Linked DNA regions of Macaca mulatta. The protein of the gene in region 1 purifies or fractionates together with the protein of each later gene. This does not show direct contact. Links are inferred from orthologs where the notes say so. Each region holds a gene or a part of one and is shown on either strand. Other genes may lie near its edges.

The links. Proteins that work in one complex are often made in the same cells at the same time.
Region 2: the proteins of PFDN4 (region 1) and PFDN5 purify together in Homo sapiens (affinity purification with mass spectrometry; 5 studies listed by BioGRID and IntAct, counting the BioPlex papers as one, with this or other methods). This does not show direct contact. The link is inferred for Macaca mulatta from reciprocal best matches to the Homo sapiens genes PFDN4 and PFDN5.

The regions. Positions count from the first base shown.
Region 1 is NC_133415.1:107,033,095-107,040,869, reverse strand, and holds the start of PFDN4 (prefoldin subunit 4), read right to left. Parts: upstream 4,525-7,775; 5' UTR 4,415-4,524; coding exon 4,391-4,414; intron 1-4,390. UniProt on the Homo sapiens protein: Binds specifically to cytosolic chaperonin (c-CPN) and transfers target proteins to it. Binds to nascent polypeptide chain and promotes folding in an environment in which there are many competing pathways for nonnative proteins.
Region 2 is NC_133416.1:60,437,998-60,445,763, reverse strand, and holds PFDN5 (prefoldin subunit 5), read right to left. Parts: upstream 4,615-7,766; 5' UTR 4,603-4,614; coding exon 4,531-4,602; intron 4,331-4,530; coding exon 4,228-4,330; intron 3,926-4,227; coding exon 3,894-3,925; intron 2,365-3,893; coding exon 2,290-2,364; intron 2,170-2,289; coding exon 2,064-2,169; intron 620-2,063; coding exon 543-619; 3' UTR 440-542; downstream 1-439. Other genes in the region: ESPL1 (separin), read right to left, coding at 7,621-7,766. UniProt on the Homo sapiens protein: Binds specifically to cytosolic chaperonin (c-CPN) and transfers target proteins to it. Binds to nascent polypeptide chain and promotes folding in an environment in which there are many competing pathways for nonnative proteins.

The sequences.
Region 1 (7,775 bases):
TGAACAGATCCAGTGCAGGACTGCCTGGCACATAACTGAGGCTAATACATGGTTTCTGAATCTGAACCTAAATCATGCTTGATCAAACTCATAAACACATAGTTTCCAAAATGTGGTAGAGAGAATTTGGCTATTTGCTTTCTGTCTTTCCAAAGCAGGTATTTCCTGTTGTAGCCCCACCAAACCACAGCCATCAGCACAGACCTGGCCCCTGGTATCCAGATCCTTCTGGTGGTTTTCCCACTGGGGTTAAGGGCTAAAGTTGATGTGTGAGTCAAATACACTGCATGCCGCCCACGGAGTGCTGTTTACAGCAGAAGGTAAGATGTCAGTGCCTTTGATGGCTAACAGAGGCTTCTGTTTTAGTCTCACTGTCCTAGAATATTCCTACATTTCTTGAAGCTGCATTTTGGCAAGAAGTGGGTAATTTTATTTATTTATTTATTTATTTTTTGAGAGAGTCTCACTCTGTTGCCCAGGCTGAAGTGCAGTAGTATGATCTCGGCTCACTGCAACCTCCACTTCCTGAGTTCAAGCCATTCCCCTGCCTCAGTCTCCCAAGTAGCTGAGATTACATACACGTGCCACCACACCCAGCTAATTTTTGTATTTTTAGTAGAGAAGGGGTTTCACCATGTTAGCCGGGCTGGTCTTGAACTCCTAACCTCAGGTGATCCGCCAGGCTCCGCCTCCCAAAGTGCTGGGATTACAGGCGTGAGCCACCACGCCCAGCCAGAAGTGGGTAATTCTTAACTAGGGGAGGGTCAATGGACATTGACAGGTCAATTTAACCCGAGACTGTATGCAAAATGGCATGTATAGTATGTGCATTCTTCTGGAAGCTCTTCATATCCTACAGTATCGGAGGCAGCACACAGAATGGTGGAGAGTCAGGCTGGAATCCAATCCAAGCAAACAGGAATCTTGGGCAAATTACCCAATTCTATGGAACCTCCTCAGGTTTCTTATCTGTAAAAAGAAGCTAGTTCCTACCTTACAGGGTTGATAAAACGAACATGTGGGAGAAAGCTTGATGATGGAGTCAGTCAAATGATAGCCAAGCATTTTATATCCTGAATATTGCTTATCAAAAATCATTACAAAGAACAGATCCAGATCTAGAAGGAAATTCTGCTAGGCCAAAGAGAAATACGCCTGCTCGAGATCCAAGGTAAAAATTAAAATTCCCCGGGCTCTTTTCTTGAGAACTAGTATCTTACGGGATTAGAGGAGGAAACAGAACCATACTCGGTCATGCCCCACACCAAGTCTAGGTATTACTCGGAGTCTGCACTGACAGCTGGGTCCCTAGAAATAAATTCTGGCCAATTTCAGTCTTTTATTTTTACTTTTAAAAACATATCTACCAAGTCTGTATGATGTAAACTTTTGCTTTGTATTTGTACTCAACAACTTTCTTTTTTTTTTTTTGGTTTTTGTTTCTGAGATGAGTCTCGCTCTGTCGCCAGGCTGGAGTGCAGTGGCGTGATCTTGGCTCACTGCGACCTCCACCTCCTGGGTTCAAGCGATTCTCGTGCCTCAGCCTCCTGAGTAGCTGGGACTACAGGTGCACACCACCATACCCAGCTAATTTTTGTATTCAACTTTCATCCATGCAGTAGTTTATTTAACAATTACTGTTTCCTATATGCCATGACAAGAGAGCCACTATCCCACCTGGCAAGCATACATCCTGGTGGAGGAAGAGAAAAAAACAAGATGAACGAGATAATGTTCGATGGTGACAAACGTGATGATGAAAATACAATAGCTTAGGAGAAGAAAGTTTTGGGGGCCTGGGGAGTGAAGGAGGCTTCTTTAGATAAAGGTCAAAGGTAGCCTCTCTGAGGAAAGAACATTTGTATGTAGGATAATCAACAGAAATCAAAGTGCAGATCTCCTTATGGTCAAGAACTGGATCTTAGAAGGCAGAACTTTAGAGATGAGAGTACTGAATCATCTCATCTAAACATTCTCCCCAGCAAAATCATGACCAGTTGAGAGATAACGATGTGTTACAAATGTAAAGTACTCCAGATTGTACATGATTTGCTTTTCATTAAACTCAAAGGGCTCTCTCTCTCTGTCTCACTCTCACTCACTGGCATACATGTTTGTTTTCTCCCATTGAGGGCAAAGGGGAAAAGCGTACATGTAAGATAATCTATCGGGAATTGTTCATAACACTGGAAACATCTACAGGAGGACATTACATCTATCATGTGACTCTCAAAGGCTTCAAAGTTAACGAAGATCTTTTATATTTTGGCCACCACCTACCCTTCTACAAGTTCTTTTCCCATCATGGCTCAAACTTTCTTCCCCTGATTATCTGCCATCAGGCCTTCCTTGTATTAAATGTACTCAGAGTCTCTGCAGATACTCCTCTCTAGAATGCTTCATTCTCTATCCAACTCTCCCTTTCTTTCCTTACATAATCTCACAGATCTCAACTTAAATGGCACTTTCCCAGGAAAGCCTTCTCTGATCTCAAAACAGACCTCATTTTGGCCCTCATTTCGTAAGTACTTTTCCTTCACAGTTCTCACCAGAGAAACTAGTTTTCTGTGTGACTATGTGAGTAATGCCTGCCTCTGTCCTGGAACATACGTTCTTTGGGGCTATAAGAATAAGGGGAGAAGAACTTCCTCACTGGTCACCGCAGTTGTCTCCACTTAAAACTGAGACTATGCCATATTACATGCCCCCAAAAATTTACTGAATCAATGAAAGGGGGAAAACAAAAGTTGATAATTAGAAATTTTGCAATCAAAATCCAGGGTTCAAATCATTCTTCTGCCATTTCCTCTTTGACCATTTACTTCACCTCTCTGCACTTCAGTTTCCATACCTATAAAACGGAGTGAACCACAACTAGTATCTTTCAAGGAATTAAAGGCCATACCTAACACCAGAGGGCCCAATTTCACAAACTAGAGGTGAAGTGAATCTCACCAAGTTTCATACTGTTTTGAATCACCATGGCCCTGGACCCTACTCTGGGACTCAGTAAGAATTTTTGGATGGCAGAATAGTAGGGTGAGCAACACATCTTGAGTTAGCTGGGGCGTTCCCAGTTTTGGCAGTCCCTCAATTTCATATAAAACGGGGCAATGGGTCACCCTACACCAGGCACAGATGGCATAGACTATGTGGTACTGGATGGGGGTAAAGCAAAGGAAGTTCTAATGTGGTCTTAAAAGTGGAATGAATGCAAATCCCGCCAGCCAAGAGATTCTCATGGAAGACCCCCTATAGCAGTTTAAAACTCAGACTCCGGAGTCAGAATGCCTGTGTTTAAATGCTAGCTTTGCCTCCGTGCCTGTTTTCTCATTTGTTAAATAAGGATAAAAACAGTATCTCCCCTAAAGTACATAAGATAAACAATACACCCAAAAAAAAAAAAAGTACAGCTATACCTAGCACACTGTAAAGCTCCCCAAATTGTCAGTCGTTATTTCCTTCCCCCTCTCCACTTTTCTTTTTCTTCTGTCTAGCTATCTTTACACATCTGGGAAGCCACGGATTTATAAACCCGACATGGAAGTTTAGCCTGCTTAGTGGTTACATAGGTGTGCTTTGAGAAAAACCAAACCAAACCTGAGTTCGAACTCCAGCTCAGCTTCTTACTAGCTGAGTCACTTTGGGGCCCCTAACTGCTCTGTGTCTAAGTTTCTCTACCTGCAAAGTGGGGAGGAACCCATTGCACTTGCTGAGCTGCGGGGAGGATAACGGATAAAGGGCCGGCTGCTGGGCCGGCAGATCGTCCGTCTTCAATAAATACTGGTTTTAGCCTGGAGGACTCAGGGGCATAGAGCGTGGACATGGGCAGCTCCGGGTTGGACACGGGGGCTCTTGGGCCTGATAATCCGGGGATGCAGGAACCTGCTGTCCCCCTTATGAGCTGCGTAACCTGAGGCAGGTGACTTCCCATCTCTGGGCCTCAGTTTCCTCACCCGTAACCACGGTCCCAGCAGCAGCTACCCATAACCAATGAGGCTAATGCGATCATGCCGGTGCAACGCCCGAGTCAAGGCCAACCACACTCAACGAGACCTTCGACTTCCCACACCTTAGGGGCAAGGCTGGGGCTGCAGATTCCTCAGACTCCCCGGGGGCACCCTCGGCATCGCGGGAGGCGGCCCAGGGCCCTCGGAGGCTCCCGGCCCCAGCCCCGGCTCCCCGCCTCGGCTGGCCAGGTGCCTAGGAAAACGCTCAGGGCGCCAGGCGCGGGCAGGCCTTGCCGCGGGGCCGCTCTCAGGGCCTCGGCCTCGGCCTCGGGTCCCACGCCGGGCTTCGGAGCTGCGCACCCCCAGCATCCCGCGCCCCAACCCCCGCGGCCGAGATTCGGCGCCACCCGCGCATCCAGAGCCCCGAGCGCCCCACTCACCGCCTTCTTCATGGTGGCCGCCATCTTGGGACTGGACTACGGCACGCGGCGGGGAGGGCCGCAATGGCGCGCTTCGTCCTCGAGCGTTCTCTCGCTCCCGGTCGGCCCAGAACTCCCCGCAGAAATACAACACTGTCTCCACATTCCCTCCTCTTGGACTTTTGGCTAATGATTCCAAACGGCTGGGACGTAGGGAGGAAATGTGACCTGGAAAGACTTGGTACATGCCAATTAAAGGGACAGGCAACCCCCGTGGGCCGACATAAACACGGGGGTGTGGCGAACGGCTCCGGCTGCGGGCAGCAGGGTGCGCGTCCCAGGGTACGCGTCCCTCAGCGTGGCGGGGACCAGCTGGGGCAGGATCAAAGGGGAGGCTGGGGGAATTTTTCTGCATCCGTCCCACAGACTTGCATTGAGAAAGCTGACCTCCCTGTAAAAGAGCTAGGAACGAATGGCCTTGGCAAATAGGGTGTGAGACTTACGTGCCATGATAATTCAGGTGGTGTAAAGGAGGAGGCGCTCCTATCTTTTAATGTAATTTTTTTAAAAATTTAGATTCAGGGGGTAGGTGTGCAGGTTTATTACACGGATATATTGCATAGCGCTAAGGTTTGGGTTTCTAATGATCCCGTTGCCCAAGTAGTGAACATAGTACTCCCTAGGTAATTTTTCAACACCTTTCCCCTGCCTCCTTCCCCGTGTTTGGAATCCCTAGCATTTGTTGTTCCCATCTTTATGTCCATGATTACCCAGTGTTTAGCTCTCACTCGTAAGTGGGAACATGAGTGGTTGATTTTCTGTTCTTTGTTAATTCACTTGGGATAATGATGTCCAGCTGCATCCATGTTGCTGCAAAGAACATGATTTTGTTCTTTCTTATGGCTGCATAGTATTCCATGGTGTATATGGACCACGTTTTCTTTATCCTATCCACTACTGATGGGCACCTGGGTTGATTCCATGCCTTTGCTGTTGTGAATAGGCAATCCTATTGATTAATTTACAGCAATATTACTGAACAGTTACTGTATATTCTGACACTTGTATCTCCCAATTAGTAATTTTTTTTTTTTTTTTTTTTTTTTTGGCCTTAGGATCTCTTTGTACTCCTAGAAATTATTGAGGACTCCAGAGAATTTTTATGTGGGTTATTTATCGATATTTGCTGTATTAGAAATTAAAGCAGAATTTTAAAAATGTAGTTATTAATTCATTTAAAATAATATAAAACTCCATTCCATGGTAATAAAAATCACACTTTAAAAATACCTATATTTTCTAAGACAAAAACAAATTGAGAAGACTGTCATCGTTTTACATTTTCACTGATGTCTTTAATATCAGGCTTAATGGAAGGTTAGATTCTCATGTGTACTTCTGCATTCAGTCTCTCCAAATATACTGTTTAGTTGTCTAGTTGTAGGTATGAAAAACCCCAGCCTCACACAAATCATGCAGTTGGGAAAGGGAGGCCCTCATGGATGCCTGAAAAGGTCTCAGGGACTCCCGACGTTCATGGACCACAGCTTGAGAACTGCCCCTGACAAGCCACCTCCTTTCTCAAAGTCCCAATTTCCTCTTTGGTTCAATGAGGGGAATGAGACCTTACAGCACCTTGTGCTCTCCCCACCGAACCACCTAGCCCGCCACGGGCATTGCCTGTTCTCCTGACTGTTCTGGGCTCTCCAGGCCCTTAGTATTGGGACTTTCCAGTGTGTAGCTTATATGTGCTCAAAAAAAGTATTTGTTGAATAAAAATGTTTTTCCAGGGTTAAATTTTAGCACAGGGTCTGGCGCATAGGATATGCTCCATCAGTGACACCTGTTTATTCCAGAGCTCAATGTAAAAGCACTGCAAGAAACAAATGGTGGAGAGGGAGACAGAAATAAAGGGCAAAATTGTCACAAATGGTACCAAGTGCATGAAGGAGATAAATGAGGTGCTGAGGCAGAGCACAGAGGGGAGGGGTGGGGGCCGGCTCTGGAACTGGCCTCCAAGCTAAGAGAAAATGGGAGGCCTCAGCATGGGGAGAGGAGATGAAAGTGGGCCCCAGGGCTGAAGGGCTGAGAGGGAAAGAGCCTGGTGAGACATGGTAGAAAGGACTGAGCAGCATGGAGCGAGGCTGGGGTGCAAGGCAGGGGCCAGATCTGAGTGTGTTTTAGACCTTGGTAAGGCCAAACCGGGGGAGGGAGAGAGAAAGAGAGAAAGAACTCTGACTTTTTCAAACCTTTATTGAGAAATGGCTGAGTTGAAAGGTGAGGAACAATGGAGCATGAATTTTGAGGAAGTGTAATTGTATGGTGGGGACTGAAAGTAGCATAGGGGGTTTCAAAGAGAGAAGCACTTCAATCCTCAAATTCATAGATCTTAGGACCAGAAGGGACCTCAACCTTCATCTATGCTAACCTTTGCCTTTCGCTGAAATATATAATAATGATAGTTGTTATGGTTTGACTGTGTTCCCACCCAAATCTCTTCTTGGATGGTAGCTCCCATAATTTCCATGTGTTGTGGGAGGGACTTGGTGGGAGATAACTGAATCATGGGGGTGGTTTCCTCTATACTGTTCTCGTGGTAGTGAATAAGTCTTATGAGAGCTGATGGTTTTATGAGGGGTTTCCCCTTTCTCTTGTTTCATTCTCCCTGTCTGCCACCACATAAGATGTGCCTTTTGCCTTCCGCCATGATTGTGAGGCCTCCCCAGCCACGTGGAACTGTGAGTCCATTAAACCTCTTTTTCTTTATCAATTACCCAGTCTTGCGTATGTCTTTATCAGCAGTGTGAAAACGGACTAATGCAACAGTAATAGTAACATATAAAACTGACACGGTACATATTCTGTGACTTGCATGTTGTTAAATGTTTTAATCCTCCCCATACCACACAATATTGTTATCGACCATTTTACAGGAGAGGAAATAGCGTTTCAGAAGGACAAAGCTACCTGGCCAAGGCTACAGCAGCCAGGAAGTACCAGAGCCTGGGTTTGAACTCTTGGCGAACCTGGCTCCAGAGACCACTCTCCAAGCACCAGGATTTGCACATCACTACAAGTCACGTATAAAGTCAGCTGTGTCCCGGAGTGGGTAGCTCATAGTGGACATTGCAGCTCCTGTCACCTAACTTGCATGAGTAAAGTGTTTAAGACTCATTAAAGGGCGTACTGGAGCCAGACTGCCTTGGTTCAAATCATACCTCCACCACTTTCTAGTTTTGGTGTTAGACAAGTTACTTTCATGGCAAAAATAATGTCTCTCCAATAGCGTTGTTGTGAAGAGTAGAAGAGATAATACATGCAAATAAAGTGCATTGTAAGCTCTCAGGAAATGTTAGCTATGATTACTTTCTCAGTTCAGCCCTGTTGCCTCTGAAATTCCTCTGCC
Region 2 (7,766 bases), on another chromosome or scaffold:
TGTGCGTCCCGATTCGGGGCGATGCCATGAGTTTGCTGCGGGGTCGTTTTGGGGGCGGGACGGACTCTGGGCCGAGCATGCGGTGCCGGGTATACACAGGTGGCGGCAGCAGCAGCAGCGTTAAAAGACCGCGCAGGAAGCGGTATCCCATAAGACTCTCCCGGTAGGGAGGCAGGAGGGCCGACCCGGAAGGGAAAGCGCCAGCGGAGCTCCACTTCCGCTTGCCAACCGTTGCCTTGGCAACCAGCTCCGCAGAGTGAGCAGCAGCTCACTCCCAGCCTAGGATTTCTTCCAGCTGGTCAAAGGGCCCTGCGGTGGAGCCTTCAGGAGGAGCACCGCATCAACCCTGTGCATCAGGCTCTGGGGCGGGGCCCACACTCTCGACCACCCCCCCATCTCATCACCAGTCCCTTGCTTAATCCAAGAAAAGACCAACATTCTGCCCAGCTGGCACATTTATTGGCATTAAACACAAGACCCTTCCCAGCACCAGGAAGCCATGCCCAAAGCCGTGTCCCTCTGCCCCATTTGTGCAAAAACTCTCAGGCCTTAGCAGTAGCCTGAGCTGCTCCCAGGGCTGTCAGCTGCTGAATCTTCTGACTCATCATTTCCATGACAGCTGTGGAAAAAAAGAAGCGTCAAAGGTTAGGAGCAAAAAGGAGAACCTAGAGTTAAGGAGAAGTTATAGGCAAGTTTAAGGACAGGTGGACAACTAACTACAGTTTGTTAATAAAACGTTTTTTTTTTTGTTTTGTTTTTTTTTTTTTTTTGAGACGGAGTCTCGCTCTGTCACCCAGGCTGGAGTGCAGTGGCCAGATCTCAGCTCACTGCAAGCTCCGCCTCCCAGGTTCACGCCATTCTCCTGCCTCAGCCTCCCAAGTAGCTGGGACTACAGGCGCCCGCCACCTTGACCGGCTAGTTTTTTTGTATTTTCTTAGTAGAGACGGGGTTTCACCATGTTGGCCATGATGGTCTCGATCTCCTGACCTCATGATCCGCCCATCTCAGCCTCCCAAAGTGCTGGGATTACAGGCTTGAGCCACCGTGCCTAGCCAACTTTTTTGTTTTTTTGAGATGGAATCTTGCTCTTGTCAAACAGGCTGGAGTGCAGTGGCACGACCTTGGCTCACTGCAACCTCTGCCTCCGGGGTTCAAGCGATTCTCCTGCCTCATCCTCCCGAATAGCTGAGATTACAGGCATGCACCACCATGCCCAGGTTAACTTCGTATTTTTAGTAGAGACGGGGTTTCACCATGGTGGCCAGGCTGGTCTTGAACTCCTGACCTCAGGTGATCCACCTGCCTCGGCTTCCCAAAGCGCTGGGATTACAGGCGTCAGCCACCGTGTCTGGCACTGTTAATAAAACTTTAACTCAGTGATCCACTGTGGGGTCGCTAACACAAATTTAGGGTCTACAATGCATCAATCAATATGTTAACCACAGCTGGGTGTGGTGAGAATGAGACTGTCTCGGGGAAAAAAAAACCCTGCTAATCAGATATATAAAAACGAACACACTTGGTATTAAATGAGTCTGACATAATCAGAAAACTATAATGTGGAAAGATTTTTACCTTCGGAACACTGGTTCTGAATCCTGATTGTAACAGAGGGGAGCTTTTTTAAAACAAAAAAACATACCTTGGTACAACTTCCCTTCCCTTGACTTCCAAGTTGATTTAGTCAATCTGGCATGGACCCAGGCTTTCTTTTTAAACTTCCTGAGTGATTCTCATGTGCGGTCAGGGTTATAATTGCTGGTATTTAGTTCATTTGGATCATGATTCCTTCCTGTGTGTTCATCTCATTCCCCCATTCCATCCTCATTAAAAAGGAGCTCCACCAAAGCACAAAAATGATTTCCTTCCTCTAAATTTCTCAAACACTCAACCCAGGAATCTACAGATAGTGATTATGCAATACACAGATTCTAAAGATTCCAAAGAGAAACTAAGACGTAGTTTTACTCCAGCAAAGGGGACACCCCCGTGGTTCACTCTGCAATCCACGTTCTTTATCATGGAGATAGACAGGGTCAAGAGGTGCCCCAGGAAAAACTTACCCTGTTTCATGGCGTGCTTTTCCTGAAGAGCTGGTTGGATTTTCTCCATCTGTTTGGTTAGAAAATCTATCTTCCTCTTGAAAAAGTCCTTGGCATCCTCAGCTGTCTACAAGATCAGAGGTGAATGAGGGGCTAAAAGGAGACTCCCTCTGGCCATGTTGCACTCTAGAACTTCCCCTAAATTTCCCTTCCCTGTTCAGAGGGGCATCCACATGCTCTCACTCACCTTCTCTACATAGTACCCAGTTCCCACATCGATGAGCACATGTTCCACATCATGCAGCTTCCCAGGGACATACATCTGAGAAGCAAGTATTAAGGCAAAAACTAGCCCAGCATGAGCCATGATTCCGCCAGCCAGCCTGCTTGGCCTCCAAAGACCCTTTTCCAAAAAGCTTCAAGGCATAAGGACTGAATAATCTGGAGGCCTTAGAACAATAACTCCAAATGGAAAGAAGACTGAGAAGTTGGTTCTTTAAGGAGAAAATGATGTATGCTGGAACACCCTTTTGTTCTGCCTCATCCCATCTCTCACCCTCTAAGCAGTTCTTGCAATTCTTCTCATTAGCCCCATCAGAAAGACTAGATATAATGTTTTCCTACTGTTGTAGAGTACTACAAGTGGAAAGCCAGCCTCATTTCCCTTAACACCCTCAATCATGAAGTAGATAATTCCTACCGAAGTTCTTTTTTTGTTTGTTTGTTGAGACAGAGTCTCGCTCTGTTGCCCAGGCTGGAGTGCAGTGGCGCGCTATTGGCTCACTGCAACCTCCGCCTCCCGGGTTAAAGTGATTCTTCTGTCTCAGCCTCCGGAGTGGTTGGGATCACAAGTGTGTGCCACCACGCCCGGCTAATTTTTGTATATTTAGTAGAGACGGGGATTCACCATGTTGGCCAGACTGATCTTGAACTCCTGACCTCAGGTGATCTGCCAGCCTTGGCTCCCAAAGTGCTGGGGATTACAGGCGTGAGCAACCGTGCCTGGCTAATTTTTTTTTTTAACCATTCCCTACTACACTACTATTCCTGTGCTCCTTTTAGCCTGTCAGTTCTCAGACTACAGATTAAAGGTGCCCTACTGCCATAACTTGTTCATTCAAGTAAAACACTGAACAAGTGGACACAATCCAGGTTTCTTAGTGACAGTTTAGAAATGAGCCACAATTAACAGAGCCAACCTCCCTGTTCCTATATCCTCCTATTTTTGTCTATTACCTGTATCTTCTAAGATATTAGCAAAGTGTAAACCACCAGCTTTATCTCCATATTAATGTTCTCAAATAGCAAAGGGAAATATTACATCTCAACTATACATACTCCTTGGTGTTCACAAGGCATTAGCTGGATGTTGGTGTGAAGTTAGATAAAAGAGCTACAAAGTGTGTAATAAGAGTACTCTTGGCCGGGGGCAGTGGCTCACGCCTGTAATCCTAGCACTTTGGGAGGCCAAGGCAGGCAGATCACGAGGTCAGGAGTTCGAGACTAGCCTGGCCAATATGGTGAAACTCCATCTCTACTAATAATACAAAAATTAGCCAGTCGTGGTGGCGCGTGCCTGCGGTCCCAGCTACTCAGGAGACTGAGGCAGAAGAATCTCTTGAACCCAGGAGGCGGAGGTTACAGTGAGCCGAGATCGCACCACTGCACTCCAGTCTGGGCGACAGAGCAAGATTCCGTCTTTAAAAAAAAAAAAGGGTGTTATCAAAATCATTGTGGGGAGAGGATAATCTGAAGTACTGAAGTAATCAAAACAATCCCCCTCCCTGCTTTTTGGAGGAGTGAGGGAGAAAGGGAGAAGGCAGCAGGTAGCCGTTCCTGTGGAAAGGATACAGAACTCGTCAGTGGGACAAGTAATTCTTTCCCTGTGAAAGCAATGAAGACAAACACCTGGGGAAGGTTAGTGGCTCCAATGTAAGACGTTAAAGAGAGTTCCAAGAGGGCACAGCACCCACAGACAGTGTGAAAAGAACGGAAACAGGGGCAATAGAAGCAGAGGAACGTCCTGTACATTTCAATTCTAGGTAGGCAACATGCAAAGGGTTCATGAAGCGGTATACGATATGTAATGGATTTTCTCGTTTCAGGTAAGAAAAACTGGATTAGGAGGTGGGACGAGAGAAGCAGGCTTGCCACTTTAGGTTGCCCTCACCCCCCTACCCCATACCCTCGTTGCTCTTGTTCAGCACGTTCAGACAGTCCTTGGCTTCCACATACTTGGTCTGTACCACTTTGAGCTGGGCAATGGACGTGGACAAGAACTCCACTTCCTACAGAGAACGGGTATAGCGGGTCAATGAGAGGGCTATGGGGAAAAGGGAGAGCGGCCGGGGAGGGGGCGGGTCCTGGGACCGGATAGAGGTTTCGCCTGGGCAAGGTAGGCTCCCAACTTGGGACCGGGCGCAAGGAAGTACGCGTGGGCAGGGGGGATGTAGAGCGGGAAAGAGGTGCCTATGGGGCCCGTCACTACCTGGTCCAGCTGGTTCTTGAGCATTTCTAGCTGCGGCAGATTCAGCTCCGTGATGTTAATAGACTGCGCCATGTTGGGAAGGAGGACTAACGAAGAGGAAGTCCCTCGGCGAGCAACGCTCTAGCCGTCCTCTGCGCGTCTCGATGGCGCCAGGAGGCCTCGCTGCGCCATACAGCTCTATGATCCTCCGTCCCGGAAGGGAAGGAGGGGCTTGAATTTCTCAGAGGCTGATCTGTCAGTTATTTTCATAAAATATTCTAAGCCTAGTACAGTAAAGTAGCAGCAAACAGGACTCCTGCCCATAGGGAACTGCAAAATCTTAAAGTTCTCACGATACAACCACGATATTACAAAGTAGTGTATGCTACTCCACGTGGGTGGTATAAGCTACTAGATAGCAGGCTGGGTTGCTATGGTGACGGCTCCTGGGGCCTCGTCCTGCCCCTCTCTACCCCACCTGCTTGTGCTGCCTGCTGGTACCCCGCCAGGTCCGATTTCAAATATTCCTCCCCGCACAGCAGGGAAATTCTTTATATTTTATTTTATTTTTTTTTTTGAGACGGAGTCTGGCTCTGTCGCCCGGGCTGGAGTGCAGTGGCCGGATCTCAGCTCACTGCAAGCTCCGCCCCCCGGGTTTACGCCATTCTCCTGCCTCAGCCTCCCGAGTAGCTGGGACTACAGGCGCCCGCCGCCTCGCCCGGCTAGTTTTTTGTATTTTTTAGTAGAGATGGGGTTTCACCGTGTTCGCCAGGATGGTCTCGATCTCCTGACCTAGTGATCCGCCCGTCTCGGCCTCCCAAAGTGCTGGGATTACAGGCTTGAGCCACCGCGCCCGGCCATGGCAGGGAAATTCTAAACTATTTTTCCCAGATGGCCTCTGAGGCCGAAAGGCAGGGAAAAAAAAACAAATAACAACAACAAAAAAATCCCTTGTCAGACCGTTCTGAATTGTTCTTGAAAAAAATCAGGCATGGCCGGGCGCGGTGGCTCAAGCCTGTAATCCCAGCACTTTGGGAGGCCGAGACGGGCGGATCATGAGGTCAGGAGATCGAGACCATCCTGGCTAACACGGTGAAACCCCGTCTCTACTAAAAAATACAAAAAACTAGCCGGGCGAAGTGGCGGGCGCCTGTAGTCCCAGCTACTTGGGAGGCTGAGGCAGGAGAATGGCGTGTACCCGGGAGGCGGAGCTTGCAGTGAGCTGAGATCCGGCCACTGCACTCCAGCCTGGGCGACAGAGCATGACTCCGTCTCAAAAAAAAAAAAAAAAATCAGGCATTAGATTGAAAGCTTGTTGAAGGCAGGAACCAACCATGTTCTCATCACTGAACTAATTCTTCCCCTCTGGCTATGACCATCTTCCCCCAGCCGGAAGTAGGCTGACACCTAGTAGGATCTGAAAAAGGGTTTATAACCCGTTGCCAGTGAGTTGGTGGGAGAACAGCAAGGAAGCACCATTGTCAACACATAGAGCACAAATTAATCAATAAAATGTTTTGGCCAGGCATGGTGGCTCATTCCTGCAATCCCAGCACTTTGGGAGGCCGAGAAGGGCAGATCACTTGAGCCCAGGAGTTTGAGGCCAGCCTGGGCAACATGGCGACACCCCGTCTCAACAAAAAATACAAAAATTAGCCGGGCTGGTGGCATATGCCTGTAGTCCTAGCTACACGGGAGGCTGAGGTGGGAGGATTGCTTGAGCTGGAGAGTTGGAGGCTGTAGTAGGCTGTGATTGTGCACTCTAGCAACAGAGCTAGACTCTGTCTCTAAAAAAAAAAAAAAGACCTGGCACAGTGGCTCACGCCTGTAATCCCAGCACTTTGGGAGGCCGAGGCAGGCAGATCACGAGGTCAGGAGATCGAGACCATCCTGGCTAACATGGTGAAACCCCATCTCTAATAAAAATACAAAAAATTAGCTAGGCATGGTGGCGAGCGCCTGTAGTCCCAGCTACTGGGGAGGCTGAGGCAGAATGGCGTGAACCCGGGAGGCGGAGCTTGCAGTGAGCTGAGATGCGCCACTGCACTCCAGCCTGGGCAACAGAGCCAGACTGTCTCAAAAAAAAAAAAAAAAAAAGTTTTACCATGTGCTATATGTGAGGAATACGTGAGAGTAAGACATTTGCTTCCCTTGAGCTTAACAACTGGAGAGAAAAACCACACTAGAACTCCACAGATCCACAGACTCTACTGCTAAAGTTACGCATTGGTAAGTGTAACATGTGTACATGGGCAGACAGCAGTAGCCTTTAACATCTACTTAGGAGGGAGGCAGGGCAACTGAGGCATTAAAACTAGTGCCATGGCTGGGCACGGTGACTCACGCCTGTAATCCCAGCACTTTTGGAAGGCTGAGAAGGGCGGATCACAAGGTCAGGAGTTTGAGACCAGCCTGGCCAATATGGTGAAACCCTGCCTCTACTAAAAATACAAAAATTAGTGGGACGTGGTGGCATGTGCCTGTAGTCCCAGCTACTCGGGAGGCTGAAGCAGGAGAATCGCTTGAACCCGGCACGCAGAGGTTGCAGTGAGCCAAGATTGTGCCACTACACTCCAGCCTGGGCAACAGAGCAAGACTGTCTCAAAAAAAACAAAAAAAAACCACTAGTGCCACTCCAAGGATACCTGAGGCAGGAAGAAAGGATGGACGGATGGTACCTGGCCAAAACACTCTCAACGGGTCTATTACTACCCTTCATTGGGCCTGTCTCTACTTAGAATTTTGATGCCCCTTTCTCCTCCAGATTTGTCTGCTGAGGTCCAGCCAGGCCCAGCAGGCTTTGTCCTGTGTCTTTGTCTTTCTTCCCTAGGCACTCAAACTTGATCTCCTATAAGCTGTTCCTGTCAGCTTACAGTACCACATAGCAGGAAGGGGGGCAGTCATGACATGTCTTTAAATGTTCTCAGATAAACTACACAAAACAAGGTTTAAGTGATGTATCTTTATTATATTGAAGTTAAATCAAAAGGAAATGTTTCATATAAAACACTGGGGAAAGTCACTTTAAAAGAGTTATCCTAAGGATTAAATCTAACCTTGGAGGTAGAACAGGTATGAGGCTTCTAGCATCAATAAGACAGCTCCATGGGGTTACCGCAGAGAGACAGGCAAGCCATAGGCTATAGGTGCAGCCCCAATAAGATACTTGAGTCGGGGAGCCTGGCGGGCCTGGTTTACATAGTACAAAAGGGGAGCCCCCGGGCCTGCTCCAAGCCAGCCCTGCAGCAGAGCTTCCG